2 linked regions of the Rattus norvegicus genome follow. The protein of the gene in region 1 interacts with the protein of each later gene in a biochemical or structural test. Links are inferred from orthologs where the notes say so. Each region holds a gene or a part of one and is shown on either strand. Other genes may lie near its edges.

Region 1 (16,435 bases):
TCTTGGGCTGAAATGCAGAAATGTTACTTTTTGAAGGGACTTTTTTTTGGAAAGTTTTTTGGGGACTGGAAAGGTAACTCAGGTTAAGAGTACCTGCTGCTCTTGGAGAAGACCTGAGTTTGGTTCCCAGCACCTATACGGGGTGAGTCAGCACTGCCTGTGGCTCCAGCTCTGGGCCTGCTGCTTTGGCCTTCTGCAGCTGTGCACATGTGTGCTCTCACATAGGTCCACACACACAGAAATAAAGCCCATTTTCTACAAAACATAAATGCCAATTTTGTAATGATTACCATTATTTCTATCTTTACTGCTGTTACATTTTACTTTTTAAAATTTTGGGAGTGTGGGTGTGTACATGTAAGTGTACTTAGGAATCCAGGAAAGCCATCAGATCCACATGAGCCAGATGGCAGCAGTTAGAACCACCTGACGTAGGTGTTGAAATAGAATCAGGGTCCTCTCATGCTCTTAGCACTAAGCCAGCTTCCTAGCCCTGCTGTTGTGGTTGTTTTCTGTAGCTCAGGCTGCCCTCTAACTTTTTACTAGCCATGACTGGCCTGAACTCGTCTTTTCGCCTGTGCCTCCTGAGTGTTGGGGTTACAAGCATGTGCCACCATGCTGGCAAATCTCTGCTGTTATGGTAATATCTTTTAATAGTTGTGTGATATAGATGTTATGTAAGTTAAAGTATGTTTTGATTAAGGATTTATTCAGGTTTGTTATGTCTTTTTTTTATTAAGGATTTTAAAATACCCAGTAATACAGCATTGAAAACCCCTCTGGTTGCTGTATTTGAAGATCTGGATATAGAAGTGGAAGAGGAAGATGAGCTGAAGGCTAGAGGTAAAGGCTCGCTCCTGTCAGCACCACTCCACTCTGTACGGCACTGCCCATTCATTAAGAACTGCATAATGAGAAGCTCAAAGTACAAAGCTTTATTAGTAGAGCTTAGAGGTGATAACTAAGAACAGAACTGAGAAGTTGGACCTTGTGGGCCAGTGTTTGAAGGTAATGCAAACCTGATTTGTCACACTTGGACTGCGCCCTGTCGTTTAGGAGCCTTTAGCTGCCAATGTTATTTTGAGTTCTCACCTGCCAGGGAAGGGTTGCTAGGGGGATGTGAAGTCGCTTCCTTGGCAGACTGTATGCCTGTGGCCCAGCGCTCAGGAGGCTGAGGGCAGAGGTTAGCTTCCGCTGCTCTTATTTTACCCTCATCTACAAAAAGAAAAAAAAAATAAATGAAAAGAAAAAAAGGAAGACAAGAATTTGCCAGGGGCAGCATTATTTGGAAAAAGAATCAGGTGGTTCTAGAGGTCCTTTTGCCCTGTTCACAAAACTGTTAACTCCTACACTGGGAGACAGTGTATCAGGATTTCCCACGGTTTTGAGGCTCACAGTATTTAATGTGAGTAAGCATTGGATGTTCTGTGAGTTCTTGGAACACAGGACCTGTGTGCATATCAGACAAGCATCCTTCCATGAGCTATATCCTTAGCCCTAGGATTTTTTAAATTTGTGTTCTTTGAAACAGAATTTCTCCATTACGTACTTATAGCTGTCCTGGAACTTGCTATATAGACCAGATTGACCTTAAACTGACAGAGATCTGCTTGCCTCTGTTTCCTGAGTGCCAGGATTAAAAGTGTACACCACCACACCTGGCTTATAATTCTAGATTTGGAATATTTGTCATTGTTTCTTTTTTGTTGTGTTGTGATGTCAGCCTCTATTTTCTCTCTTAATGATGGAGTGAACTGAGAAAAATAGAGTGCGTTGGACAAAGTAAATACAGCCTATGGAAGGCACTGGCACTCCACGCCAATCACAGGGTCAGGCCGACTTCTCACTTGGGCTTTGGGAGGAATGAGAATTGTAATCTTAAATCAGATTATTTAAAATATAGTCTATATTCTTAAGCTGGTAGTGTCTCAGTACTTGGGAGGCAGAGGCAGGCAGATGTCTGTGAGCTCAAGGTCAGCTGGTCTGCAGAGTGAGTTCCAGGGCAGTAGTGATAATAATGAGACCCTGGTCATTGTGAGCCCCGCCCCCCCTGCCCTGCCCCTATGCATTTGTCATTACATAACAGTAGAAAAAGTTTTTTTAAGTGCAAACTTCTAGGTTAAATTAACAAATCCTTGAATTTATCTAAAGCTTAAAAGATTGGAGAGTGAGAGATTTCCAACAGTGTGGCCTCTGAGTTGTTCAGGCTGCTTCCCTGTGTCTCCATGTTTCTGTGTTTTAAAAGTTGTTCCTGTACTGTATGTGGTGAATGTGTGTGTGTTTGCTCACTAGGCATTTAACTCAGGGCTCTATGCACAGTATACATATGCTCTGCTAGTCAACTATCAGCCCATTTTCATAGCTTTAACTTTTGAAATTGTTCTTAATAAACACCAAGAAAATTCAGTGATTCATGTTTTATTGAATGATGACTTAATATTTCTTCTGCACAGGCCTGACAGGTTTGAAAAACATTGGAAATACTTGCTATATGAATGCCGCTCTGCAAGCTCTCTCTAACTGGTAAGCAGTGAGACCAATATTGGGTTCTCTCCTTTTCTCCTCCTGCTCCACCAACTCCCCTGGTTGTCCAGGAACTTGCTGTGTAGACCAGATTGGTCTTGAGCTCAGAGATCCAACGGGATATGCTTCTCGAGTACTGGAACTAAACATGTACCCCACCATACTCAGGTCTAGTATAAGGTTAGCTAAGATAACTTGTTACTACAGTAGGTGACTAACTCCCAGAGCAGAGAGGCAAGAACCTGGGTGAAGACATCGTTGTCCCAGTGGGATTGCTGTGTGTGCATCTACGTTTATTATTTTGTTTTTCTCTTGGCAGTGTCTTATTTTCACCCAGGCTGGCCTCCAACTGTGTAGTTGAGGATGGCCTTGAACCTGGTCCTTATGCTACCACATTTCAAGTCCTGGACTGCAAGCATCTATAGCGTGCACAGTTAATACCTGTAGTTTTCTAAGACCGAGGATCCCAGCTCAGGCTTCCAGTAGTATGTCCTTGGTTTTAGTTTTTGCAATGCTGGGCCTCAACCCTGGGCCCTTAAGCACACTGCTGTACTGAACAATATCTCTAGCAAGTGTATTTATGGACGAAAACCAAAGAACTTAAATTTGTCACATTCTCAGATCATTTTTAGGTGAAAAATCATATGAAAGTATGTTTCTACTGGTAGAATCCCTTGAATAGAGAGCATTCACCCCCACCCCACCCCCATTTGCAGCATATAAATAGGGTGATTATTACTTTGTCAGAACATGACTTGAGTTTGAAAATAGCTTTGGGAAAGAGTTTGACACTGAGAACCTGGAAGAAAATCTGGGTGGCAGACATAGTAATTGTGGAGTAATTGCATAGGGCCATGTGCAATCCACATTAAAACTGAGGTCTCAGGTGTGGTAAGGGACTACCAAAGTCCTTTTACAGCAGGGGAATAGAGGAATCTGTCTTGCAGCCCTGGTTGCCATGTGGATAGTGGGTTGTAGGAAAAAGTATAATTTGGAAAAACAGAAGATGTATAATAATCTAAGTAAGAAGTAAGAGTACCTTACACAATTTTGGAGTAGATGAATTGGAGAAAGACATTTTTTTTTTCTTTTTTCTTTTTTTCGGAGCTGGGGACCGAACCCAGGGCCTTGCGCTTGCTAGGCAAGCGCTCTACCACTGAGCTAAATCCCCAACCCCGAGAAAGACATTTTTTACAGTTGGTGGTTGCTAGGATATGGTTAGAGTACTGGGAAAGGGAGGAGATTTGAAGTTTAATAGTAGAATCATTTGATGAAGGAGTCATTTGGAAGGGCAGCAAGGTTTCTTAGTCTCTGAGTCTTACTATCTCTGTCTTTCTCATATGCATACATAATGTTGGTAATAAGAATGGAGAAGATTGGGCTGGAGAGATGGCTCAGTGGTTAAGAGCCCTGACTCCTCTTCCTGAGGTCCTGAGTTCAATTCCCAGCAACCACATGGTGGCTTGCAACCATCTGTAAAGAGATCTAATGCCCTCTTCTGGTGTATCTGAAGACAGCTACAATGTACTTATATATAATAAATGAATAAATCTTTAAAGAAAAAAAAAAGAACGGAGAAGATTATTGGAAGATCAGGTTCACTTGCAAGTAAAATTCTGAGTGTGTTAGATTAAAATATCAAGACAGTGGTCAGTTTGAGCATTTGATAAGAATTCAGTTGATGAAAGGTGTCTGAAGGCTAACATGAATGTGGCCGACACTGGTGTATTTGTGGGAATTGAAGATGGCCCAGGAAAGAGTAAAGTCCCGAGTCAGAGTCCTGGGCACCCGAACAGAAAGAACACTAGGGGTGGAGGCTGCACGAGGAGGACAGTAGCAGTGTTTACTGGGATCTGCTTAGTTCTGTGCTTTACGTAAGCAGGAAGAGGCTGAGGCCAGCCTCAGCAGCACAGCAGTCCCTCCTCCCTCCTGCCCTGTCTTTCCTCTTCACCCTCTTTTAGTCCTTTTCTGCCTTTTTCCATACCTCCTTCCTTCCTTGTTTACTTCAGACAGGTCTCTGTGTAGCCCAGGTTAGCCTTGAGCTCAGTGTGTTCCTCTTGGCCCTGTCTGCTTAGTGCTGAAATTACAGGTATGTGCCTCCCTGCTCAGATTCTTAATAAAGAACAAAAACAAAAACCAATTTAGAAAGAGATTGGGTCAAGGCTCAAGCCTCTTATCCCAGCACTCAGAAACAGAGGACCCTGACGTGGTGAGTCCAAGAATGATTTGTTAAACTTATTAGTGATATAAAGGAGTGACTGTCAGACCATAAAGGGGCAAAGACCTAACAGAGAGGTTGATGTGTGCTGTCAATCATTGTGTAATTAGAAAGTAATGAGAACTCAGCCTTAATTCCACTCTGCTATTGCTCTCTTTTCAATTAGCCCACCTTTGACACAGTTCTTTCTTGATTGTGGAGGACTGGCTAGAACAGATAAGAAACCAGCCATTTGTAAAAGTTATCTCAAACTAATGACAGAATTGTGGCACAAGAGCAGGTATGTACTTAATATAATTATGTCTTAAATCAGTATTATAAGTATGGAATGAAAGCAGAAATGTTTGGAGGGTTGAAAAAAAAAACGCAGGAAGGAGATTTGAGTTGGGTCATTTGAAGCTGAAATGCAGATGGAGCAGAGGCCATCGTCAACATCAGCTGGTTATGTGGAGGCTATGGAGCCTCACTGCCGAGGTGCAGAGCAGCAGAGCCTTCCCAGACTGGGCAGGGTAGGCCAGGCCAGCTGCCTGCTCTGCCAGTGACCGTGCCCCACCCATATCTTAGCATATTGGTCATTAGTTGCGTATTAGGTTAGTTTTGCTTTACAACTGTTTATGAAGTTGCATTTTTGAAAAATATTGTGCAGTGCGAGAGTAATAAAATTCTTTAAAAAAAATTAAAACTACAAAAGTATCTGTTTAAAACTTTATTTTTCAGGCCAGGATCTGTTGTGCCTGCTAATCTGTTCCAAGGAATTAAAACTGTAAATCCAACTTTTCGAGGCTATTCTCAGCAGGTTAGTTATCCATATAAAAATCCTTAAACTTTTTAACAAATGTGTTTAATTTCTTTGTATGACTTTGTTTGCCTGTGTTTATGTATGTGCACCATGCGTGCCTGATACCTGGTGAGGTCAGAAGAAGGCATCAGGTTGCCTGGAACTGGAGTTCCGGGGCCCGTGAGCCATAGCACATGGGTGCTGCAGACTGAGCCGGGTCGTTGACGAGCAAGTGCTCTTCACTGCTGAGCTGCGCTGTGTCCACTGCGGTCACCCTCAGTGAGAGAGAGAGTTATTACACTCCATTTCCCAGTTGTCCTTTTTCATCATTGTGCCTTTGTCTTTGGTGTTTGGACTTGTGAGACTGGGTCTTTTGTATCCCTGACTGGTCTTGGCCTCTCTGTGTGTGACAGCCTTAAGTTTCTGATCGTTCTTTCTCTGCCTCTCATGTGCCGGGACGACAGAGGGGCCTCCAGCACACCTGGCTGTTTGTTTGTCTTTGCATTTCTGTGGCTCCAGTGAGTGAACAGTGTTCTCCCCCTGCACCAACCCTTGTGATTTCTCACTGTGCTGTCTCACTGTCATAGGGCAGCTTCCGTTACTTTAGTGGTCTGCAGTCCCTGGACAATTTATAGCTGGTCCTCACACATTTCTCTTTTCTCAAACCATTACTTATTCACTATTAACCTTTAACATATAAAGTTCTGGATCTCCAGACATTATAATTTAGAGCTGTAGGTTGGAGCTCAGGAATTTAAATTTTTTTATTTAATGTTACTTGTGTGCATGAGGAAGGGCAGTGTACACATGCCACACTACATGTCTAAAGGTCAGAAAAGAACTTTGTGGAGTGGGTTGTTTTTCCACAGCAGGCTTAAGAGATTGAACTTGGTGGTCAGGCTTGCATGGTAATCACTTTTACTGAAACTTCTTTGCAGCTCAGGAAATATATCATCAAAAAAGTTCTTGTTGATCTATGGACAATTTTTCTTTGAGATACAGTCCATGGATGAGAAAAACTTACTTAAAACCAATTTCCATAATAACTTATTTTAGGGCATATTTCCAAATTCTGACTATCATATGAGGAAAATCCTTATTTTCTGTTGCATCCAGTTTCATTACAAAGCATAGTTTTTGTTTGCGTAGCTGTTGGAATCTGTTGTTGTAGGTCTGCTGCAGTATGGGCTGTAGACTAGTCAGTGTGACGTGATATGTCCACAGTTCACTCACTCACGCCTCTTAGGTTCCGACAAGCACTCGCGTTAGAAGGTAATGTGGTTTTGTTGATGTGCTAGGATGCCCAGGAATTCCTTCGCTGTTTAATGGATCTGCTTCATGAAGAGTTGAAGGAGCAGGTCATGGAAATAGAGGAAGAGCCTCAAGCACTAACTTCTGAGGAGACAGTGGAGGAAGAGAAGAGCCAGTCAGATGTGGATTTTCAGTCCTGCGAGTCATGTAGCAGCAGCAGTGAGAAAGGGGAAAATGAGAGTGTCTCTAAGGGCGGCCCTGAAGACAGCACTGAGACCACCATGCTCATTCAGGATGAGGAGGACCTAGAGATGGCCAAAGACTGGCAAAAAGAGAAGATGTGCAACAAGAGCAACAAAGCAGATTCTGACGGAGAACCGGATAAAGACAGAGACACGGTGTGTGAAACAGTTGACCTAAACAGCCAGGAGACCGTCAAGGTGCAGATACACGGCAGAGCCTCAGGTGACGATTAACACTCGGACTGTGCAGTGCTCGTGTGGCATGCGCAGACTGTCACTTTGGAACAAGTCATTTGTTTGTTTGTTTATTTGTTTACTTACTAGGCAGGGCCTTAATGTATGCCCCTGGCTGTCCTGGAATGTGCTGTGTAGACAAGGCTATCCTCAAACACTTCTGGCTGCCTCTGCCTCTTGAATGTTGGGATTAAAGGTATTTGCTACCACACCTGGCTTTTGGGAGTTTTAATAGACTTGCAGTTTAACACTGTCTGCTTGCAGTGTTCAGTGAAATCATCAAGTTAGGAAATTAAAAGTAAGATAATTTTGTGGATCATTTACTTAGGACTTCATTTTTTTTCTATTTTATTTATTTTATTTTATTTTGGTATAGCAGAGCTCATTAGGATTCCTTTATGGTTACATAGTAGTCTAGAAAATTAGTCTCTTTGGAATTTCCCCTTTTATTTCAAGCAAATTCTGTTGAGATCCTGAGGATTTGAAACACAGCCCATGATCTCCTATCATCGTGCTATGGCACCCAGTGGTTTGCACTGTAGACGGAGCTGATGTGTGCATGAGCTTTGTTAAGGCTCACTGTATTGGACAGTGTTCCTTTCAAGAAGGAAAATACCCAAATGAAAGATATGAGTTGGACTATGTTACACACCATATTTTTCTCCTTAGGAGCTACCCTATCTTGATGTGCTATTGACTACTCTAAATTCTATAAAATTAGATGACTAGAAAGTCAGATTGTGCAACTTAGTGGCCAGGAAATGACAGAAAGTTAATCTCTGGACTATTGAAGGGAATCCTGGCAGTGAAGTGTCTGAGTGCATCACAGTTCTGCCTTGAACAGTATTTCTTTAGCTTAGGAAAATGGAGGCTTACTTGTGCTTGCCAGGGACATAAAGTCAGGAGTGCTTAGGCTCTGCACAGACTCACTGTGGACATACGGTCTTTAGCCAGTGAGGGCCTGAATGTCAGTTCCTGTGAAAAGCCAAGGGAAGCATGATTCAGGGACACACTGGTCCTTTATTACTTGCTTGTGGGGTTTGTTCTTAACATATAGTAACTAGGGGTTGGGGATTTAGCTCAGTGGTAGAGCGCTTGCCTAGCAAGCGCAAGGCCCTGGGTTTGATCCCCAGCTCCGGAAAAAAGAAAAAAAAAAAAAAAGAAGAAAAAAAGAACATATAGTAACTAGCTACTAAAGTAAAGTAGGTCTCAGAGTTTTGTGTTTCAAGTCTGGATGAAAAACTATGACTAAGACCATGGAGTACACAAAACCTAAAGTCCTTACTGTCCCCAGCAGGAAGGATGAGCCAGCCTGTGAAGCCTTGGGCTGCAAGGTAATGGAGGCTCTCAGCAGCAGGGCTCGGCTGGCCTCTTTACTTATGCTTGAGAGCTTTCTCCTGTCGTCTTAATTAAATTGGTATTTATTATGAGTATGAGTGTTTTGGCTTCATGTACGTATATGTATTGTATGTGTATTGTACTTGTGCCTGGAATCGTTATGTTAATTAACATTATTGTGCACGTGGGGTATAACTTTACTGAGTAGTTTCATTTATAATTTTAATTGAAGGTAATAATAAAAATTTAAATATTACAGAATATATCACTGATGTCCATTTGAATGACCTATCTACACCACAGATCCTTCCATCAAATGAAAGTGTTAATCCACGTTTATCAGCAAGTCCTCCTAAGTCAGGCAATCTGTGGCCAGGATTGACACCTCCACACAAGAAAGGTAAAAGTACCCATAATTCAGTTCCTAACTCTGAAGTGTTTACCCAGTTTGAGCTACTGATGCTGATGAAGTGGTAGGGACTATGTGTTCTCGTACAGTTGATAGAACTATGTGACCGTGATTAGGACATTTGTCTGTGGTTCTGTACTTTAAACTTTGGTTTTTTTATAATTTAAGATAATGATTTTGTATTTGAGTATCTTACCCGCATGTATGTATGTGCATCCCATGTGCACACAGAAGTTAAAAGAGGACATGAGATCACATGGAACTGAAGCATGGTTATGAACCATTACCTGGCTACTGGGAGCGAACCCTGTGAGAGCAGCAAGAATGCCTAACTGCAGAACCTTTCTAGTCCGCCCTCTCTTTTACTCACCTTTTAAACCTCCTGTGCCCTTCAGCCCATTCTGTCCTGCAGTTCCATGGTCAGATTGTCATCCTACCCCTCAGGCCTGCCACACTGATACTCTGGTCCTAATGTGTCTGTAAGGCCGGAGACTCCTGATGGCTTCCCTTTCTCTAGAGTGCCCTGTAAATGATGCCACACAGTACCATGCTAAAAAGCAGCCTTTTTTCATGTAGCACAATGTAGTTAAGAATTGGCTGCATTGGGCTGGAGAGATGGCTCAGTGGTTAGGAGCACTGGCTGATCTTCCAGAGGTCCTGAGTTCAAATCCCAGCAACCATATGGTGACTTACAACCATCTGTAATGAGATCTGATGCCCTCTTCTGGTGTGTCTGAAGACAACTACAGTGTACTTGTATATGATAATAGTAATAATTAAAAAAAAAGAGTTGGCTGCATTGTTGTACGTCTTGCTACTTTCTTTTCCTTACCAAGTTGAATTTAATTTCTGTCACCAAATCACTGTTTATTCACTCATCAAGGGATTTTTGAATTGTTTTAAGTTTTTGGCAGTTATAAATAATACTGTTAGAAACATATACAGTTTTTGTATGATGTTAAGTTTTTCTTTGATCAGAGATAAGGTCTTAGAATTATATTTCCTGGGTTTTGAAGATTATTTATTTATTTTTAATTTCATGTACATTATTGCTTTGTCTTCATGTATGTCTGCATAAGGGTGTTGGAACTGGAACTCCCTTGAACTGGAGTTACAGACAGTTGTGAGCTGCCATGTGGGTGCTGGGAATTGAACCTAGGTCCTCTGGAAGAGCAACTAGTACTCTTAACCACTGAACCATCTCTGCAGCCTCTATCTCTTAGGTTTTATGTTCATTTATGCTCACCACTGTACAAACCTGCCTCTTTCAGAATGTCTGTACCATTCTGCATTGCTGCCAGCTTTGTATCAAAATGCTAGCACTATAAAATATAAAACTATAAAACTCACAGAGGACACCATGTGGTAGTGCGTGCCTTTAATCCCAGTGCTCATAGGAAAGTTGATCTGTGTGGAGTTCAGTCCAAGGACTGTATGGTTTATCGGGATTATAGGCCAGTCAGAATTGCATAATGAGAACCTGTCTCACACAAGCAGTGAACAGAGAAACAGCTGGAGGCCTTAAAGGGTTTCTCCCAGTGGATAGCAGACATGAAAACATGGTAGAGAGGTGGGTCAGGGGATAGCAGTGCTTGCTGTATAAGCTGGACAGCCGAGTTCGATCCCCAGAACCCACAACAGAAATAAAAGGAAAGAACTAACTTCAGGTTGTCTTCTGACCTCCATACTTCATGTACATACAATCCCATGTACAAAATAAGGATACCATCTGTAAAAGAACCAGTGAGTCTTGGCAAAGGACTTTATTGAGATTTAAGAAAGGGTAGGATTGGGAAGAAGTATTTGTAGGTGGACAAGCCAGAGGAGCATATCCAGTACTGCTCACTAACAGGAAGTGCAGTCGGAATGTTGTTCTGAAGGATAATATGCAGGCCGGGCCTGCTGCTCTGTCCTCATGACTTCACCTGCCTCTCCCAGTTGCACCTTTTTTGCTTTGTGGTCCATAAATACTCCAGTGATGGGGCCAGCACATCCTGTGCACATGGGACACAAATGACTAGTGTGTTGTGCTGTTAACTATTATTATTAATTAATTTCAGATGGTTTTCGTATTTCCCTATGTACATTTTATGTGACTAAAAATCATAAGTAATTTAAAGCCAGCTGAAGCCTTATTTGATTTTTGATTGGCTTTTCTATCTGTTTAAAGTAACAGTTTTTTCTTGGTTTTGGTTTTTGAGACAGGTTTTACTGTGCATCCTTGGGTGTCATGGAACTCACTAGGCTTGATCTTGAGCTCAGAGCTCCACCTATGTCTGTCTTTCAAGTGTTAGAATTCAAGGCATGCACCAACACTCAGCACTAATTTTTTCTTTAAGAATTTCTTTTTAACGGGGCTGGGGATTTAGCTCAGTGGTAGAGCGCTTGCCTAGGAAGCGCAAGGCCCTGGGTTCGGTCCCCAGCTCCGGAAAAAAAGAACCAAAAAAAAAAAAAAAAAAGAATTTCTTTTTAAATTTTTATTCATGTATAAGTGTGTTTCTCTATGTATATGCCCCATGTGCTTGGGTGCCCATGGAAGCCAGAAGATGTAGGACCCCTTGATGCTAGAATTACACACAGTTGTGGGATGGGTGGGTGCCTTATGTAGGTGTTAGGAACCAAAGCCTGGTTCTCTGGAAGAGCAGCAAGTGAGCCATCTCTCTAGCCCTAAAGCAGTAATCTTGGGTGGTTTTCTGAATTCCTTTTATAGTACAGTAATTATTTTTTATGTTTATTGACCTGTGTGTTTGTGTCCATGTGTATGTGTGGGTGCACATGCCACAGCATACTTGTAGAGGTCAGCAGAGAACCTGTTGGTTTTCTCCCTCCATTATATGGGTCTTGGGAATCAAACAAGTCTGAGATGGACAGGAAGTGCTTCTACCTACTGAGCATCTTGTAGGCGGAGTATAGCATGGCTCAGTGGGTAAGACCGTGTGTAGAGTTTAGTGCTTGGCATTTATATTGGGTAGCTTTAGATTGCCCCTAACTCTAGCTCCAGGGAATCCAGTACCTCTTCTGGCTCTCATGGGCACCGTATGTACATGCAACAGACACATACACATACATAGTAATAGATAAGTACAACTGAAAAAGGAAAATATTCTAGGGAAAGCCGGCACACGCGCTGCTCTTCTAATCTAGTGTCATATGAGATGGAAGGAAGAGGACCAGGAATTCAGAGTCAGTCTCAGAATCATTGTGAACCTGAGGCCAGTCTGAGCTACACGAGATCCTACCTCAAAAAACAAAAATCCCAAAACAATTAAAAAATATTCAAGGAACGAACTTGATTCTTTCTAATGTTCTGTCTTTTAATTCTAGCTCAGTCTTCATCTCCAAAGAGGAAAAAGCAGCATAAGAAGTACAGAAGTGTCATCTCTGACATATTTGATGGGACAATCATTAGTTCAGTACAGTGTCTGACGTGTGATAGGGTGAGTATGGAGAACCGTAACAGGATGTTTCTGTCCAGTGTTATTTGTAAAAACCTAAGGATGGGAAGAGTTAAATAGATCATTGCTGTTGCAGCCCACACATTTCTTGTGTGTCTGTTAGTTATACATTGAGTTGAGATGTAGAGTAACAGTACAGCCCACATCCTTTGTGCAGGACCACGGGCTCTTTGTCTGTTTTGGTTACATATAAAGGTGAGAAGTTACTTGGCAACAAGAATTGTTAACAGTGCTTCTTCTCCCACGGCTGATGAAATTAGGTATGCCCAGAAACACTTGCATTCACAAGCAAATGGCAGTTGAGTGTATTCTTACATTTGCCTTTGCAGGTGGCTTGTAAATGATACATGTGTTTCAGTGATGATACCAAAGTCACAAACACGGTTTTGTCTCAAACAAATTTCATGAGGGTTGACTAACACCCAATCCTTCAGAAAGAAAGAAATCCTTCAGAAAAGAAAAAATTAAGATTTCTTAATTTTTTCATTTTAGTGAAATACAGTAATTAGTATGCTTAGTGAATGAGAACTCATGTCTAAGAAACGAGAAAATCAACTTTCAATTATTGTGTTATAATGTTAAGTCACTCAGTAGGCACTCAGTAGGGTCATTTTCATACTGATGGTGTATTATCCCGAAACGTTTTATCTAGTGTATGTGTATTGCTGTAGTTAAGGACAGACTGCATGTGACTGTCATGGAAGATTCTGTTAGCAGAGTATTGTAATCATCTTAGTGTGGTATTTACTCCATGGTTGCCTGAAGCAGCGTATCTCCCATGATGCATCCCTGTTGTTAAGTGCTGGTTGATGCCAGATCTGGTTTTCTCCTTACCACTCTACCACAGCCTGCAGTTTCATGTACTTTGGAGGCTGAGGGGAGAGGATGCCTTGAGAACAGTTTGGATGGTACAGTGTATAATAAGACCTAGTCCCTCAACACTCCTAGAAAGGAGCGTGAATGTCAGTCTCCATTGCCCGTAGCTGGGTTTGTTGTGCTTCTCTGAGCCATAGAAATACTCATGACTCGTAGGAAGATTATATTTGGAACAGTACCTGGTACAAAGTGGACTCATTTCTATGTGTAGTATTCTAAAGCTGTTGGTATTTATATTTGCTTATAGTAATAGCTTGCTTTCATATGTGGAAGAAATCTAACCCTGTAAATAACTGTCCTGGATTCTTTCCATCCTGTTAAAACCAAACACTTGCAGGTGTCTGTAACCCTCGAGACCTTTCAGGATCTGTCCTTGCCGATTCCTGGCAAGGAAGACCTGGCTAAGCTGCACTCCTCCAGTCACCCAACTATAGTCAAAGCAGGGTCGTGTGGCGAAGCCTACGCTCCACAGGGGTGGATAGCTTTCTTCATGGAGTACGTGAAGAGGTGCGTGTTTATTTCCTTTGCTTGGATTGATGGTTGGTGCTGCTGCTTCTGCTGTACTAGCAGAACACTTCCTTTCTCTCCTGTCAATGATGTTTCAGGTTTGTTGTCTCATGTGTCCCTAGCTGGTTTTGGGGTCCAGTAGTAACCTTGCAAGATTGTCTTGCTGCCTTCTTCGCCAGAGATGAACTTAAAGGTAAGAAATACGATCGCATTTATGACTGACTTTGGTAGGTGAACCAATGCTTCATTTCGGACAGTTAAATAGTATTTGTTCATATTTGCATGGTGGAGGAATCTTCAGTGGCAGTTGAAATATGATTAGAAAAGTCCTGCCCTGAAGGAATTTATATAGATTTCTATAATACAAAACAAGACATCTTCACGTTCTGTGATTCTGAGAAGGTGGATTCTGTGAAGATGATGGGTGCAGATGCGCCTTGAACTGTTCACAGCTGCACCTGCAGTGACGGTCCTATGCAGCTGCGCTTGCCTACTCTGTGGCTTCTGCCTTCTACTCTTCTCTACCGTTTTTCTTCCCTTTCAAACCAGCCCTAACACTAGAGAAGAGAGAAAACAGAGTAGAGAGGAAAGGAAAGAGATCCCTGAATAAGGTCCGGGGTCAGAAAGGGGGTGGGCTGTTACTTCTGCTTCCTGCTGATTAGGATGTTCAGTTCCTTGGAACAAGTGTGATCTTTGCTGTCAGGACATCTAATTTCTTTTTCTCATTTCTTCTTTGCATGACCAACAGTAATGAACAACCAAACAACTTACCAACAGACCTCCCACCTCTAGGGGCCTAGCGATTTTATATCCTCTGAAAAGTCTCGGGATTCCAAATGTTACACACTTGCAGAAATACGTGCAGCTGACAGTCATGCCCCCTCCAGAGCAAGAGGCCACTTACAGTCAGCTGCTGTGGACGGTCTGAAACAGCATGTCCAGTACTTGGGATTCAAATGAAAACATTTTTATAATATCTTTTTTTTTTTTTTTTTTTAAAGAAATCAGAATCCGAGAATTGACACTACAGTTCTGCACTTTTCTCGATGCCCAGCACCATGCTTGGGCACGTAACAGGATATAGTAAATTCTGTTCAGGACTAGATGAAGTGACTGCTTCTTCAATTAGTCCATCAAATGAAAGGAGAGGAGGAGTGGGTGGTGACTGTAGGGAAGTAAATGTCACCAGCTGGTCACTGTGGTACATCTGGGAATTGCAGAACAGTTTGCTGGTGATAGGCTGAATGACTAGATCTTTTCTGTCTGCAGGTGATAATATGTACAGTTGTGAAAAATGCAAAAAGTGAGTAACAACGACATTATTTTCACTTTCGTATTTTGTATTTTTCTTGGATATCTGAACTGAGCACATGGACTTGATGCTTTGGAAAATTCAGATTGGTTATTTTGTAAAACATGTTTAAAGTAAATTTTTAATAGCCTCATCTAATATATTAATAAATGTGAGGGTTTTAAGGAATGAAGGATGTGAGTTTGCAGAAACAAAGTGACTTTTTCAGGTTGCTATGGTAACGCACCATAGCAAGGAAGTGAAAGGTACAGATGTGTAGAACATTCAGAGAGGTTGCCCTATGTTCACAGTGCTTGCTGATATGGGCGCAGAACAGAATAGTTAGGCCTTGTTTTCTTTATATCTACTTCCAGCCCCCCTTTCTATCTTGTAATAATTTTGACTTTTCAAAACCTCTTTTGGGTGTGGTTAGAGCCCGCCTTTTAATCCCAGCACAGAAAGCTGCCAACTTGATCTAGATAGTGGGTTCCAGGCAGCTAGAAGTCAACAACTACAGGAAATAAACAATAAAACACTTGTTTGTGATATCAGAAAAATGGAGTAGAGATTTGATAAAAGCAAGTATTTTTGATGTAGAGGAAATTGAAAAAAATTTCAGAATCTCTGTAATACAAAAATAATGAGCTCCTAAGAAAAGCTTGAATCTTTAAATATTTTGAAAGATTTAATTTTTATTTGATGTGTATGAATATTTTGCCTGCATGTGTGTATGTACAGCATGTAAGTGTCCAGTGCCCATGGATGTTAGAAGAGAGGGCAACACCTACTCTTGAAACTGGAATTAGAGATGGTTCTGAGCCATCTATATGTGGATGCTGGGCACTGATCCCAGGTCCTGTCTGCAAGAGCAGTAAGTGCTCTTAATGGCTGAGCATTCTCTCTAGTCCATAAAGCTGGAGTATTAATACAGTAACAACCGGGAAATCTTTTTTTTTTTTTTTTTCCTTTTTTTCGGAGCTGGGGATCGAACCCAGGGCCTTGCGCAAGCGCTCTACCACTGAGCTAAATCCCCAACCTCACAACCGGGAAATCTTAAACTTCAATTGTTGGTCCTTCTTATGATAGAACAGAATTGAGGCAATAAATGCAAAAATAAATAAACACCTCTCACGTGGAAAGATGTTTTCTCAGTCTATCTGGAAGTCCTGGCTGACAGTTAAAAGGAGACTTGAGTCTGAAGAGGCATCTTACTCTGCAGCTGGACACGCCAGGTAGAAGAAAACAGACATGGAGGGAGACAGCCAGTGCTCATCCCTGAGGCCAAGTGCAGATCTGTCCAGTGTGCACTAATT
Region 2 (15,627 bases), on another chromosome or scaffold:
GCAAGTGGTAAGCAAGGTCTATGTTCGAAAATTAAAGATGATGGGAGATTTTTTTGTCTTGTGCACATTGTTTTTCAAACGGAAAAGTGGAGAGAGTGGCACAAAGGTATTCCACTGAGGGGAAATAGGGAGGAGCGGAAGGAAGAGACCAAAGAGGAGAAAAGCCTGTCTCTGTAAGTCTAGAAATGTCAATCACCCTTGTCGTCTTCCGCCAAACCCAGTCAATGCTGCCCCAGCAATGAACCTCTAATATGGCCCCTCTGCTCCCCTCCACTCTCTGTTCATCATTTTCCCTCGGCTAGCTTATCTTCTAGCGAGCGGTCTCGCTATGCGACACGTTACCCAAAAAGAGAAGTCCTATCTCGACATTCCTCTGGTGAAAGCAAAACCCAATCAAATCAGCACTGGGCTGGAATTAGTGGTGAGCTAAGCATATGTGAGGCCCTAGCAGAAAATTAAATTAAATTAAATTAAATAAAGACTACAGTTCCTCGGGCTCTTTCTTTCACCTGCTATACACAGTCTTCCACCGTCTCTTCTATTCCTCCGCAGCTCTACCTCCTGCCATCTAACCCACAGACATTTTAGAACAGGGCGTGCTTTTCCTTACTCATCTTTAGGATGTCCTTTCCCCACTTCTGTCCATCCTTCAGAAGGGCTGTCCTCAAATTTCCTATGCTATGGAGTGACTGCACTCCCTCCTCCACGCTGGCCAAGCGCTTTTAGGCTTTTAGTTGCTTGATGGTCTGAGTCATATCTATTATAGCGTTCCTGGGAGCATAATACCTGTTTTATATGTCTCACGGATCCCAGGAAACTTAGGCCATGATGTTGTCCCGATGGCTCTGCACAGTGACTTACACAAAATAGGCAGGGAGGGAAGGATGAAGAATGGAAGAGATAAGTGGAGTAGGTGAATGATGGCTAGGATAGACGGTAAGGGAGATGACAAAGTCTGAATGTTTTAAAGTGACACTGCAAAAAAAAAAAAAAAAAATCAAAGACAATACACCAGGGGGAGCTGAAGACCACGAGAACGCGGGAAAGGTAGGCCAAACAAGGCTGCAAGCTCAGGGATGAGCAGCGCATACCAAAGCAAGCATCATCACGCAACAGATACGGCTCACCCACGTGGGCAGCCCCTTGGTGCTCAGACCCAGACAGTGTTTGAGCTCATTCCCACCGCCCCCTCGATCCCGTCCCTCCTCCGCTACAGTGAAAGCAAACAAAGGGGAGGGATCCCTGCAGGGCTATGGATACCAACGGCCAATCAGCTGCTTCTAAACTTCTCGAAGGCGGCCGCCTCCATTTTAAGGGGCCCAATCTAGTTCCAAAGGCTTGAGGAGGGGCGGGGAGATCGAGAGTAGGGACGGCGCGAGGAGGCTTCCCCGAGGGAGACTGAGGGCGGAGGCGTGGGGCGGAGCCAGCTCGAAGAGGGCGGGCTGCGCCGCGGCGCGCGGGCTCCGGCTGACGCAGCTGGCCCCAGCTCCCCTAGACCCAGACCGCGAGGGGAGGGGAAGGAGGAGAAAGAGTGAGGACGCGCGTGCGCAGTGACTCGGGGAGGAGTGGGGACCTGGCAGCGGGTGAGAAGGCTGCGAGCGAGCCGCGAACCCGGCGGGTGGAGGGCGGCGAGCGCGCGCGCACCATGGGTGAAAAACCCGGGACCAGGTAAGGGAGGTGGGGCCGTGCCGCGGGGCATGGGCGGCTGCTCGCGGAGTGTGCCAGGTTGATCCACAGACAAGGACACCGGGGAAGAAACCCCGGGGCCGGACGCCTGGGTCCCTAGAGGGTAGCTGTCCGGGGCCGCAAGCCTAGGTCCTTGAGGATATTGGAGTGGGGGTGCGTGCTGGGGCTCCTGCAAAAAGCAAGACTTGATAGAGATCGGGAAACCCACGCCTGGGTTCTCACAGAGATGTAGGAGTCGGACTACTGGGTTCTCTGCAGGCTGTGATGCAGGGGCGGAGGAAGGAGGAGCAGGTGGCCGGCCCCGAGGGGTTGTGTGCTGGGAGACTGGATGCTGGGAAGGGATTCCCCTAGACTCGTGCCCAACCAATGGAAAGCCTCCTGCCCAATACCCCACAGTCTGATTGCTCCCACCTGTCCCAAGGGTCGGATAGCTCTGCTACCAAACTTCTGCCTTCTCCTAGGTTGCTAGGAGCAACAGCTTCTTGAGAGAGTAGAGTGCATAGGGACCCTCGCTGAAATTGGGCTTTATTCCTGTCCTGGGGAGAGAGAGAGGTAGTATCTGCCCTGGACACACATCCTCTCCCCGGATGTTTTCTGTGCAATCGAGGCTCCTTCCTTCCACTGATACCAGAGTTCTCTTTTTTGGTCTATAGCAAAATCCACTTCCTGTTGTGACCCAACACCCCCAGGAGGACATGGGGTGAATACTTGAGTTCCAAAGGAGCAAGAACTAAATAATAGGTTGGGGCCATGTGCCTCAAGCCAGAGAGGACCAAGGATAAGGGCCTGATTATGAACAGTGACTTCTGCAAAACATGAGACCAACCCCACCACTCCCACTGCCCTTAAGTATTAAGAAGACCAATATCTGAGAGAGATGCTTACAGGGAAGATTGACCTCCTAGATTTGAGGTTAAACTAAACCCCAGAGAAAGGAGAAGTCACTTACTTGGGGGGGAGGCCCCCAAATTTCCGTTGAGTACTTCAGGGAGGGAATAGATGGACCAAAGAAAGACTGCTGACTTGGCATAATTCCCTACCATCTCATCAAATTCTGGGCCAGAGGAAATGGCGAGAATGGCAGGAAGTACAAAGAGGCATCTGCTTTAGCTGCACCCCTCCAAGCTGGGTACCTCCCTGGTAATTCCCTTGCTCTGCCTTCTTGGCCAAGCACACTGTGCACGCTGCGCCCTCCCTAACCATGGCTGGGTAAGAGCAGGGCAACTGACGGAGATACAATGATTGTGTGGTCGTCACAGGTTCTGCCAGGGCTCCCAGTGGGGGAAAATACAAGACAGGAGGAAACCAGAAGTAGGAGAAAGAGCCAACCTAGGTGATGTCCAAGCTGTCAGCCCTAATTGGGACAGAAATTAGAGTGATTATTCTAACCGCCACCATGTCCAAATGTGCCTTTATTACTTGGGGATACTTAGGGCAGCCTATGTATATGCCATGTGACCCTAAGTGTGTGTGGCCCAGTGATGTATGGGCAGCTTGGCTTTGGGGAAGGAGGAGACAAGTGGTTTTTCCAAGCAGAAACTCACATAGTGTGTTGAAGGGAGGATGGAACTCTGGGCAGTTTTCAGCCTGTTATCTGGGGGCCCTTTCAGGAATTGCTCCGGAGCCAAAAGGCCTTAGAAGGGGTAGAGTTGTTCTTGGAAGAACAAGCCAAGGAATGGCCAGAGCTCTGGGGTCACTAGACAGTTTCCTATCCTCCTAGCCGTGGGTGGAGTCTAGACTTAGGTTGTTCTAGTGTCTGTACAGAAAAATCCCCTTAGACTTGACAAACTGTGACAGGCGAGCTTCACGACTTAGTGGTTGAGAACAGGGTCTTGAAACCAGGGTGCCTTCCTCAGGTTTATATCCGAGTCCCACCCTGTACCTTCTCTGTGACCTTTGACAAAATTCTTGTTTGCCGTAAAGCCGGGGTCTTTTAGCCTCTGTCACTGGGCGATAAGAGCTGTAAACGCAGTTGGTACAGTGCTAGAACACAGCAGTCACCAGTCAATGTTAGCCAGAATCACCATGTTTGTCACAGGATGCTACTGTGTGGGGACCACAGTGGGTTTTTTTGTTTTTGTTTTTTTTTAAGCTGCTGAGGTCAGAAACGGGGCTGTTGGAGGTTCATGAAATAGTCAGACTTGGGGACAGAAACATCTGAGGGGCAAAGACTCTGCTCCAGGAGTCACTGTGTGAGTCCTTGAAGCTAGAGGTCAGTTAAAGAGTTCATCTGAGTGTGGTAGTTCGTGCCCCTTCATCCTAGCACCAAAGAGACAGAGGTAAATGGATCTGAGTTGGGGCCAGCCTGGTCTACAAGTCAAGTTCCAGGCTAGCCAGAGTTACATACTAAGGCCAAGGTCAAAAGGGAGGGAGGAGTGTTAGGTGTGACCCAGACATTGTGTAGCCATCAGTTGACTCTTGGTTTCGGAGAGGGTCCCTCAGGAGAGCCTGAATAGTTGGCTGGGGCAAACAGTGGCCATTTACTATAAGCGGAGGAGTGAGTTAGTAACATCAACAGCAAAGAGGAAAGGCCTGACAGTTGGCTTCAAGAGGCTTCAAATACCGGTGGGAAGCAGTAAAAAAAAGCAGTGGGAAGGGTCGAGCAGGGATCCAGGGTGAATTCCATTTCTCTGGGGGGAGGGATAAATCCCGGCGTGGTGGTCCCTGCCCAGCCTAAGGGAGGCAGTGGGGTCTTCCTTTCTGTTTTGTTAGGGTCTTCAAGAAGTCGAGCCCTAACTGCAAGGTGAGTCTCCCTCGATGCTTGCTTACCCTTTGATCCTCCCTGGGCCCTATCAGAGCCCAGCCTACCCCTAGATGATCCCCAACCCTTAGCTCCCCACTTCCTGTGACAGCTAAAAGCAGACTTCCTTCCCTCCTTAAGCCCCTTGCCACAGTCTGAAGAAGCCACAGGGCTGGGTGGAGACTGGGCTTGGTTCCTAAGCTAGCTTGTAACTCTCTTAGGAACCAACGCAAGATGCCTGGGCTAGGAAAAGTTAATAGTTCCCCAGGCAGTGGCCCGTTTATCTCAGAGCCTGTTGTGGGGACAGCTGCTAACTGCCTGGTCTGACTGAGTGTTCCCTGAAGACATGGGAACACATATATACACATTTACACCTACCCGTGGTTGGTGGGCACAGGTATGGAAAGTGACCAATGCGGGCAGGTAAAAGCTTAAACAAAAGTTTTACTGAGTAGTCTAGAAAACCCTACCACTCTTACCATCCAATAATACTGGGAGAAATTCCTTCCTGATAACCCAGCCAAGGGGAGCCCAGGATAGGGTAGACATCTTTGAGAACTCTGGTGGCTTGCCACCATCCTCCCCAATTTTCCCTGTGACCCTTGACATCCTCAGCTCACCGTGTACTTGGGCAAGCGTGACTTTGTGGATCACTTGGACAAAGTGGATCCTGTCGGTAAGTTTGCCTAGAAGGGGCTAGCACAATCCTCCAAGAGGGGAGGTGGTGCCTGAGTTTGGGAATGGCCCCCTTCAGAAAATGAATGCATCTCCCTTTCCTAGATGGTGTGGTGCTTGTGGATCCTGACTACTTGAAGGACCGGAAAGGTATTGCACCCATGCTGGAGGGGAGAAGAAGACATTAGATGGGCTGGCATTGGTAACAGAGAAAAGGAAGGACGAATCAGAAGCTGGGGGCAGGATTCTGGGAAGTCTGTTATTCCGAGGAAGGATGTGGATACCATGAAGAAAGGGGGTTACTCCTAATCACCCCAACTTACCCTTACTTTTCAGTGTTTGTGACCCTCACCTGTGCCTTCCGCTATGGCCGAGAAGACCTGGATGTACTGGGCCTGTCTTTCCGCAAAGATCTGTTCATCGCCACCTACCAGGCCTTCCCCCCCATGCCCAACCCACCTCGGCCCCCCACCCGCCTACAGGACCGACTGCTGAAGAAGTTGGGCCAGCATGCCCACCCCTTTTTTTTCACAGTGAGGAAACTGTCTATTTCCTGCAGGGCAAGGGGTCTGGGGTTGACATGGGATGAAACGCCGGTTACCAGTTGAAACCCCTCCTCTTCTCTGCCACAGATACCCCAGAATTTGCCTTGCTCCGTCACACTGCAGCCAGGACCGGAGGACACAGGGAAGGTACAGAAGGGACAACTCAACAGTATGTGAACAGAACCCGGCTCAGCAGATGCACAAGACGCAGCCGAGCGGGAGGGTGAAGTGTAGTGGGCTCTTGAGGACAGGGAGGTATCCCCATGGACGTGTGTGCATGGTGTGGTCACCAGATCTGTTCTCTGACCCGCATGTACCTTGCTGGGTATAGTGGCTCCTCCGTGCACTGCCATGAGCCAGCCTCTGCCAGCTGCCAAGCTAGAGAGAGACAGTGGGGCCAGAGAGTCCCTCTGTTTCCATGATGAGGCAAAAATCCACACCAAGAGGAACTAAGCGGGGAGGAAGGAGGGGGTGTGTTGGATGTGGTACCAGGAGACTTGGGTAAGCGGCAGCCTTTCCTCCTCTTCCCAAGGCCTGTGGAGTAGACTTTGAGATTCGAGCCTTCTGTGCCAAATCTATAGAAGAAAAAAGCCACAAAAGGTAAGAACAACTCTCTTTCTCTCTGGTTTAACCGCTTCCACCCATCCTCGAGGTATCCTGGTGGGGGGTAGGAATCCGAATTGGCCTGTGCTATCTTGCACCTAAGTCTTTCCCCTCCTCCAACCCCTGACTCAGGAACTCCGTGCGGCTTATCATCAGAAAGGTACAGTTTGCTCCTGAGACACCCGGCCCCCAGCCATCAGCTGAAACCACACGCCACTTCCTCATGTCTGACCGGAGGTCCCTGCACCTAGAGGCTTCCCTGGACAAAGAGGTAGGGTGTGAGAGAGTGACAAAGATGTCACAAAGCAGGCCAGACTCTTGTTGGGGGGGAGGGGTGAAACCACAGGCAAGATGGTGGTTTAGGAAGGTTTTTTCTTTTAATAAGGCAATTGCCTCACTTGGGTAGAGGTGCTATGGGCTGGATTGGGGATGGAGCAGGCCAAGGGAATGGGGTCAGTGAAAACCAGCTACAAGCTATGCAATCCCCTCCCTTCCAAAGCTGTACTACCATGGGGAACCCCTCAATGTCAACGTCCACGTCACCAACAATTCTGCCAAGACCGTCAAGAAGATCAGAGTGTCTGGTAGGAGGCGGGAGTGGACATTGGGATGGGGGAAGGAAGTCCCTACTTATAAGGGTTTCTGCTGCCCTTATGTCAGCCTAGGCCCATAACCCACTGTAGGAAACCTACCAAGCCATAAAGAATTTAGTCTGTTCCAGAATAATATACAGCCCTAGTGTTTAATATAGGAGGTCTGTTGGCCAGGGGTGGAAGGGGGCATGGGGCTGCCCCCAGGGGGATTTCCAGCATGTGGTCGGGAATTGTGGTACAGTAACTGTCTATACTTCACCCAAAGCCACTTGGTCCCCTACCCCACAGTGAGACAGTATGCCGACATTTGCCTCTTCAGCACCGCGCAGTACAAGTGTCCTGTGGCTCAGCTTGAACAAGAGTGAGTAAGGGTCAAGGGTGGGACCCAAGCTTCCAGGAAAACATGAGAAGGCAGGATTCTAAGGGTGTCTCTCTATAGCCAGGGGGCACCAAGCTGTTGACTATCTCCCAACAGGTTGAACCAGAACCTACCCTCTCATAATCTGTGCCCTAATGGACAGTGAGGGAGGAGAGACTGCCTGAGGGTGGTAAGATGAGCCTCCCCTAGCCCAGTCTCTCCAACAATCTTGTTCCCAACCCCCAGTGACCAGGTGTCTCCCAGTTCCACATTCTGCAAGGTGTACACCATAACCCCGCTGCTCAGTGACAACCGAGAGAAGCGTGGCCTTGCCCTTGATGGGCAACTCAAGCACGAAGACACCAACCTGGCTTCCAGCACCATGTGAGGGGAGAAGGGGGGTGGGGGAGGGGGGAGGGGCCAGGGGACGGGCTTCCGTTCAAAGCAGGCCTAGTGCCAGGCTTTGTCCTGGGTGCCAGGAAGGTATCAGTGAACAGAAATGACAGAAACTTCTCACATTCTAAGGGAGGGAAGACAGACAATCAGATAAGTGGTAAACTAGATAGCACGTTAGGAACAAGTGTTAAGTAGAACAGTATAAAGTATGAAAGATAGAGTATAGCAGATAGTGTATAGAAAGGGGCGGGCTGTGTTGATTTTAAATAGACTGGCCAGGGAGGGTGAACACTGAAGGACCCAGAGGAAGGAGGCGTTATGGATGGCTCTAGGCAGAGAGACTTCCAAGCTTAAGGACAGTTGGGATGGTCCCCAGTGTGCATGAGGAATTGTGATGTGTCACTATGACCTTGGGCACGTGTAGCCCTAGAAAGGCCAGAGCTTCACCTGGTGTTGCCTCTGCACCGGGTACGTATGTCACTAGCACATAGGCCCACATGGAGAGAAGAGACACAAAGAGAAATAGATAAAGGGAGCTGTGCCATAGATCAAAGCACCCCTGTGAGCCCCAAAGATGAGGCCCCAGGAGGTTCTGCATGGAGGATACCATGAGCCTGTATTGCTATGGCTGCATAGCTGGTGCCTCAGGAGCCCTGGATCCCTGACCTCAGCTTCCTTCCTCCCAAATGCAGTGTGAAGGAGGGAGCCAACAAGGAGGTGCTGGGAATCCTAGTATCCTACAGGGTCAAGGTGAAGCTGGTGGTGTCTCGAGGCGGGTGAGTACAGTAGTCAGGGCTGGGCAGGGTCACTGGGTTCTCTGGATCCATGGGTTGTGGTAATTGTCCTCTTCATGCAGCCCCTCTCCCTCCCCAGGGATGTCTCCGTGGAGCTACCTTTCGTCCTAATGCACCCCAAGCCCCACGACCACATCACCCTTCCCCGACCCCAGTCAGGTGAGTACTGACCACACCCTGAGCCCCACAAAGATTAGCTGAAGCAGGGTCAGTGGGGAAGTGATGGTCCTAGCACCCCTCTACCTATCCCCTCTTTGCCCTTCAGCCCCCCGGGAAATAGACATCCCTGTGGATACCAACCTCATTGAATTCGATACCAAGTAAGAAACACCCCTTACCTTCTTTGTTGACCCTCTAGGATAGAGATTCCCATGCCATTCAGATCCACCCTCCTACTTTATGGGTTGCTTCCTTCTGGTGGGAGAAGTGGTGGAACTATCCAGTGAGATGGCCCAGCTTGTAGAGGCTGTGGCTACTGCCCTGGGTCCCTTGTGAACCCCTCTGGTTCTGTGATTATAGAAGCTTTTACCTTATCTCCTTCTCACTGTCACCAAGCTATGCCACAGACGACGACATCGTGTTTGAGGACTTTGCGAGGCTTCGGCTGAAGGGGATGAAGGATGACGACTGTGATGACCAGTTCTGCTAGGAAGAGGGGCTGGGAGAGGTAGGGGTGGGCAGGACTGAGGTCCCACTGCCCTTGCGGGTAGGAGGGTCCCAGCCTCTCCTCCTTCCCCGTCCGTCCACCCGAGATACACACTGGACCCATCACTCGTTGAAAGTGGGCATTAATCTTTTGACTTCAGCTCTGCCACCCCAGCCCTGCTCCCTAGGGTGGCAAGCTGTGTACACACCTAAAGTTTTGGGAAGGGAACACTGAAAGCAAGGAGTGAATGTAGAGAAAAGGAGTAGAAAGGACACCCATGTTTGGCCTCATACCAACCCACTCCCAGTCACCACTTCTGCCTCCCAATCCTTGAAGATGAGATTTCAGGGGAGGGACCAGCAAGGCCATATCTTCGTTTCTGAGCATAGGGAAGAAATAAACCTTTTAATAGGCATGAACGTGTATGTGTTTTCTTAGTGGAGTTTAAAGGGGGTATGGTGTCCCCATCGATGATGCTTTTTTCTACATCTGCAGGGTACCTTACACAGGTTATCAATAAATGTTTACTGGATGACTGTGCTATGCCTGTGTTCCAAGGTAAATATTGAAACTCAGCTTGGTCGGAACACAGTCGCGATTGAGACTGGTAAAGCCACAAAGTAAACTTAGTCTTTTACAGGGAAAATAATAACTAACTTCCCTGAAGACTCGATGCTCCTGAGCTGGGCAGGGCAGGTTCCTCGACATGACTGTATGTGCCAAAGCCAGGCTGGGGGAAGGAGTTAGCAACACTCAACAGACATTTCTCATCATCCAGCGCAACTCCTGGAAGTAACCTCTCTGTCTTAATTAGGGTTGCTATTGGAGCGATAAAGCACCATGATCAAAGCAACATGGGAGTTTCGAAAGGATTTATTTGGCTTACACTTCCACATCATAGCTCATTATTGAAGGAGGTCAGGACAGGAGCTCAAACAGCAGGCACCTGGAGGCAGAAGCTGATACAGAGGCCATGGAGAAGTGTTGCTACCTTGTTCTCCATGATCTGTCCAGCCTGCTTTCCTATAGAACCCAGGACCACCTGCCCAGGAGGGACACCATCCACAATGGGCTGGGCCCTTTCATATCAGTCACTTAAGAAAAACCCCTGCAGGCCTGCCTATATAGTCTGATCTTACAGAGGCATTTTCGCAATCAAGGCTCCCTCCTCTCGCTTGTGTCAAGTTGACATAAAACCAGCCAGCACACCTTTCTAAAGGCTCCATCCTGTGAACAGTCTTGACCTACATCCCTACCACATGCCAATCATGGTATAGGGACATACAAGCATTAACTCATTCCCTAGTTGCACTCTGTGTCCCAGGGAGGATGGGAACTTGGAATGCGCATATGGCGATCTAGGTTGGGGTTGGGGTTGGGGTTGGGGATGGTTTCTCTAGAGGAACCTTTAAGCAGAGAACTGAAAACGAGGTAGGGGATGTGCAGGGAAAACCTGGAGCACAGCAAAGCTACAGTGTAAAGGCCAGAAGGTGCCGTGAATAGACTCAGACCAGGGACTGGAGTAGCCAAGAAGTACGGGAGTTTTCTCTGAGGCAAATGGGGGAAGCCTGCATGGGCCTTGGTCTATGGTAAAGCTTCTGAAATGGTAATTAAATCATCATTTATCCACAGGCCAGAAACCCAATGCCAGTGACCGCGCTCACCCTATCACAGGCCATGTCCCCTACCCGTGCTGGCTTTGTCACACAAAGGGACTAACTCCTTTTAAGTCTTTGCTTCCAGCCTCTCTGACTCCTGTGACCCAGCTCTATGACCTCTCAGGCTTCACCAGAAGACTCAGAGATAAAGATCCAGGATTAGGCCCTTCAGTCTCAGTCAGAAGAGCTAGTGGAAAACCCATGACTATGGGTTGAAGAATGCCTTGTTTTTAAAAGGGGGGTTTATGTTTTCAGTGCTGTTTAGGGAGGTAATCCAAGCACATGGGTTAAAAAAAAAAAAAAAAAAAAAAACTGAACCATATAAGACAATAAACAGTGAAAAGCCAACTCTCTCGGTCCTCTTCCCCACCCCAATTTCTCTTTCCTACCAGCCACCACCATCACCAACCAGTGCCTTGTTTATTCAAAGACTGTTCCTCGCACTGAGTCTCACGTACACAGGCCTTGTGTGCTCAGTCTCAACCGAATACAGAAGGCAGCAAACCATGAGCTCATCTGCGTCTTGCTGTGTCTTTCAGTTGATATCGTTACCTGCAAGAGCTTTCCTGAAGCTCCGCTTGCATCCACCCCGTGCTTTTTTTTTTTACTTTATTTGTTTATTTTATGTATGTGAGTACACTGTCGCTGTCCTCAGACACACCAGAAGAGGGCATCAGATCTCATTACAGATGGTTGTGAGCCACCATGTGGTTGCTGGGAATTGAACTCAGGACCTCTGGAAGAGCAGTCAGTGCTCTTAACCACAGGGCAAATCTCTTCGGCCCCTCACATTCCCTTTTTATTTAAAGCACACAGGGTTGCCTTATTCGAGATCTCCACATTGTTGGACAGCTCTCACCTTTATCTAGTTCCGAAACACTCTTGTTATTTATTATTAACGACGCTACACTTTTATCTGAAGGTAAACTTTTCCTACCCTTTTCTAACTGGCATCTTAGTTTGCTCTGTCACCGAGCCGTTCACCCTTCCTCTTGCTCGTGAATAAACACTTCATTTTCTTTCCACTACACACATCCAGAGCTTATCAACCACTGTCTCATCCAGTTTCTCCTCTTTGCACAATTTCACCTTCACCCCTGGATCTGTCCACCCACCCCTACCTCTGTTCTAACACCAGGCTGAGTGGCTGGTTAGGATACGCTGCCAAAGAAGGAGTCATATGACCACCCTTATTTGCTCATTCAACAAACATATTTGAATACATCCTAGGTTCTGACATGGCGCTGAGCCCTGAGTAGAGATCTAAGACCACTAAAAAGTGCTGCTCTCTAACCTAGGCTGGGCCTTCAATGCCTAATAGCTCTGTTAGCCCTTCTTCTGCTCCAATGTTACCATTTTTACGCCTGCCTCATGGTGAATGACATTTCCTTTCCCAAGATTAGGCTAAAAAGGAATGAATGATTTCAGCATCCTACCTCCTACTCCTACACGTTGATCTAGACACCAATTTAAAATAGGACGGGTAAGGTGCCTCCCTAGGGCAAGGCCAGTCTTTCTCTCTGCTCACATCTCCCCGTCTCCTGTTCCACCTTGACTCATCAAACCACCCCAGACCCTCTCGTCTGTCTCTACTGGCTCATCCTCTAAGGAAAATAAACAGGCCATACAAGTACAAGTCCCCTCCACTGCAGGGAGCAGGAAGAAAGGAGAGAGGACCAAGGGAAGAAAACAAAACCTCTCCTCCACTATGAAGTCTCTTTCCCAGAAAGTATATCTTGATTTCCTCTCTCACTTTCCTGTTTTTACACTTGGTCTTAGCCAAAAGGCCGAGAAGTGATACTTTTCTGTTTTTAGCTTGGTCTGATTCTTTGGTGTGTTGTTGTTGTTGTTGACCTTGATTTTTATTTTATGTGTATGGGGTGGGTAGTTTGCTTATATGTATGTCTGTGTACCACGTGCATTCAGTGCCTATGGAGGCCAGAAGAAGGTGCTGGATTCCTTACGAGAGAGGGTACCACTGCTTGTGAGCCACTATGTGGACACTGGGAAACAAACCTGGGTCCTCTGGAAGATCAGCCAGTATTCTTAACTGCTGAGCCATCTCTCCAGCCCCTTGATTTGTTTTTCTGAGACAAGTAGTTGAGGCTGGCCTCGAACTCCCCTTCCTTTGCCTTCTAAATGCTTGGTTATTTTTTAAATATTGCTACTTTTTAAAAAATTTTCGGGGGTTGGGGATTTAGCTCAGCGGTAGAGCACTTGCCTAGCGAGCGCAAGGCCCTGGGTTCGGTCCCCAGCTCCAAAAAAAAAAAAAAAAAAGAAAAAAAGAAAAAGAAAAAATTTTTCTTCCTCCTTTTTTTAAGATTTATTTATTTTTATGTATGTGAGTACACTGTCACTGTCTTCAGACACACTAGAAGGGGGCACTGGATCCCATTACAGATGGTTGTGAGCCACCATGTGGTTGCTGGGAATTGAACTCAGGACCTCTGGAAGAGCAGTCAGTGCTCCTAACCGCTGAGCCACCTCTCCAGCCCCTAAATTTTACTTTTTATTCAAAGTAATAAACACAGATCTTTTAAGGAGGTAGATAAGGACTGGAGATGGAATTTAGGGATAGAGTGCCTAACACATACAAGACCCTGAGTTTATCCACAGGCATACAAGCATCGTATGGTGCTGAAATATTCTTTACTGTATCTGGCACTGGTGTGAGTTTGGATTTGGTTTGGTTTTGAGGTTGGGGTTTTGTTTGCTTGTTTGGTTGGTTTTTGTCTGTTCGCTTTGCTTGATTTGGCTCTTTGAGATAGAATCTCAACACATAGACCTGGCTGTCCTAGAACTCAGTATGTTGACTAAGCTGGCCTCAAACGCACATAAACCTGCCTGCTTCTGCTTCCTCCTGGATGCTGGGACTAAAGGTTAAAGCCTGCAGATTAAAGCCTGGTGGCTGAAAGAGTCTTAAACAAAAACAACAACCGAAAATAAATAGATAAGGCAGGCCCCTGATTTCTTTCTCCTCAGAGGGAACTCTCTCCCTCGTCCTTCAAATGTTTCTGAAGGCATTTACTACCCCTCTCACCCTCACCCCTATCTCGGAACACGATAGTTTTGCTCCTTCTTGACTTCTGCCCTCAGCATCACCTAGCAGATGCCCGGCTCCAATGCCACGACATGGTGCCATCATCCACCAAGCTCATGCTCAGACTATGCTGTAACTGCAAAATTTTTAGTTGCAAAATAAAAATTGCAAAAATAAAAATTGCAAAAAAGAAAAAAAAGAGAGGAAGAGGAATGGGAGGGACAAGGCTTTTTTAGATTTCATAATGGTTTAAGTAAGTTTATGGTTTTGTAGGCCACATTTGAAGATAAATTTATAGATGCAGGCCTCAGAGGGGACAAACCTGCCAGAAGGTGAAGGCTGAGCCTATCTTTGTGCCTCCTGATCATCGTGTGACGCTATTCACCCTGCCCCCGGCCCATTCCCCTGAGGATTGTATCAGGTGGAGTCAGATCGATGTTGAGTATTGAATTATGCCTCTGCTAAGGTTTATAGTGGATCTGTGGTCCTTCGTGATCACCTCCTGTTTTCCATGCTTAATGGTCGTTTGAAATATGCTTATTCTCCAGTTTAATCACAATTCACCTTGTACTCCTCTCTCCCAGGAGTCTACAGTCCAGACTCTTCCTATTGCACTGGGGTTGCCGGGACCTTTCACGAATGACCTGGACCTGTGCCTCGTCACTGAGGAAAGCTGACAGTTTGTTCAGACCAGAGTGTCTTTATTCCGTCTTCCTAATTGAGAGTTCAGCTTTGTGAATCCCTAGATACCCCCCAAGATCTATTCTCCTGAGGTGACCCAATAGCTGGCCATGTAGGAAAGGCCTACGCTTTCCACAGGTAGGGAAAAGCACATGGCTAAGCTTCCTTCATGAAATATGAGTCACTTCCCAGCCAGACTCCTCACATAGTTCCCTGTCCTCTACAATTTCCTCTTCCTCTTCCCCTGCAGTCCTAGCCCAGAGCAGGGGAAAGTCAGGTTTCAGGGGGCACACACAGTGCCCCCACCAGGGTTTCTCACACTTTATTGTGCATACAAGTCACCTGGGGACCTTTAAACACAGCCTGTGGCTCAGTTGGTCTGGGGTCGGTGCTAAGACAATGTCTCTAATGAGTCTAGGGAAGGCTGACATCCAGGACTATGAGCTTACCCAGGCAAGACCTTAGAGGGCAACCGCAGCAAAAGCCTTGGCCCTCGTGTGACCTGTGGAGTGTGTGGAACTAACCGCCTGCACCTAACTGTTCCACGAGAAAAATACATTCAAATGTTCGATGGGAAAAACGGTGTCTTTGCATTTTAGTCTTCACGCCAATGCAGCTGGGGTGTGGAATTCTGGATTCCCAGCCAGTTCTCCCTCAAATGTGGAAGGTTATTCTAGCCAGAGGGAATGGAGTGGTGGTGGTGGTGGTGGTGGTGGTGGTGGTGGTGGTGGTGGTGGTGGTGGTGGTGGTGGTGGTTTTTCTGAAGTTTTTGTATTTATTTGTTTGTTTCCTTCCTTCCTTCCTTCCTTCCTTCCTTCCTTCCTTCCTTCCTCCCCCCCCTCTCTCTTTCCTTCTTTCTTTCTTTCTTTCTTTCTTTCTTTCTTTCTTTCTTTCTTTCTTTCTTTCTTTCTAAGAGGCCCCACACCATTCTAATTGCCCAGCCTTTGCCTCAGTTTCCTTTTTCTGGAAGCTTCCCTAGGTGCCTTTTGGTTAAGCCTGGTGCTCTAATTCGTGGGTCTGGTTTCCTCCTCAGCTACATGGGGCCTTTAATGGGCTCTTTCATCCCTTCATCCCAGAGGTACAAGTAAGCCTCCTGGGCTGCTTCTCAATGGCCTTTTCTTTGGCTACATTTATATTCTCTCTCTCTCTCTCTCTCTCTCTCTCTCTGTGTGTGTGTGTGTGTGTGTGTGTGTGTGCCTGAGTGTATGTGTG

Evidence for each region.
Region 2: of the proteins of Usp33 (region 1) and Arrb2, one has a biochemical effect on the other in vitro, tested with the Homo sapiens proteins (2 studies listed by BioGRID, with this or other methods). The link is inferred for Rattus norvegicus from reciprocal best matches to the Homo sapiens genes USP33 and ARRB2.

What each region holds. Positions count from the first base shown.
Region 1 is NC_086020.1:243,957,685-243,974,119, forward strand, and holds part of Usp33 (ubiquitin carboxyl-terminal hydrolase 33), read left to right. Parts: intron 1-740; coding exon 741-843; intron 844-2,453; coding exon 2,454-2,523; intron 2,524-4,907; coding exon 4,908-5,021; intron 5,022-5,458; coding exon 5,459-5,537; intron 5,538-6,817; coding exon 6,818-7,235; intron 7,236-8,843; coding exon 8,844-8,984; intron 8,985-12,317; coding exon 12,318-12,430; intron 12,431-13,661; coding exon 13,662-13,831; intron 13,832-13,929; coding exon 13,930-14,024; intron 14,025-15,100; coding exon 15,101-15,134; intron 15,135-16,435. UniProt on the Homo sapiens protein: Deubiquitinating enzyme involved in various processes such as centrosome duplication, cellular migration and beta-2 adrenergic receptor/ADRB2 recycling.
Region 2 is NC_086028.1:55,644,035-55,659,661, forward strand, and holds Arrb2 (beta-arrestin-2), read left to right. Parts: upstream 1-1,567; 5' UTR 1,568-1,645; coding exon 1,646-1,668; intron 1,669-4,372; exon of another isoform or gene 4,373-4,398; coding exon 4,399-4,429; exon of another isoform or gene 4,430-4,772; coding exon of another isoform or gene 4,773-4,823; intron 4,824-5,041; coding exon 5,042-5,102; intron 5,103-5,206; coding exon 5,207-5,251; intron 5,252-5,437; coding exon 5,438-5,634; intron 5,635-5,733; coding exon 5,734-5,793; intron 5,794-6,178; coding exon 6,179-6,246; intron 6,247-6,381; coding exon 6,382-6,520; intron 6,521-6,748; coding exon 6,749-6,833; intron 6,834-7,107; exon of another isoform or gene 7,108-7,130; coding exon 7,131-7,203; intron 7,204-7,446; coding exon 7,447-7,584; intron 7,585-8,288; coding exon 8,289-8,372; intron 8,373-8,452; coding exon of another isoform or gene 8,453-8,469; coding exon 8,470-8,549; exon of another isoform or gene 8,550-8,622; coding exon of another isoform or gene 8,623-8,655; coding exon 8,656-8,710; exon of another isoform or gene 8,711-8,945; coding exon 8,946-9,039; 3' UTR 9,040-9,451; downstream 9,452-15,627. UniProt on the Homo sapiens protein: Functions in regulating agonist-mediated G-protein coupled receptor (GPCR) signaling by mediating both receptor desensitization and resensitization processes.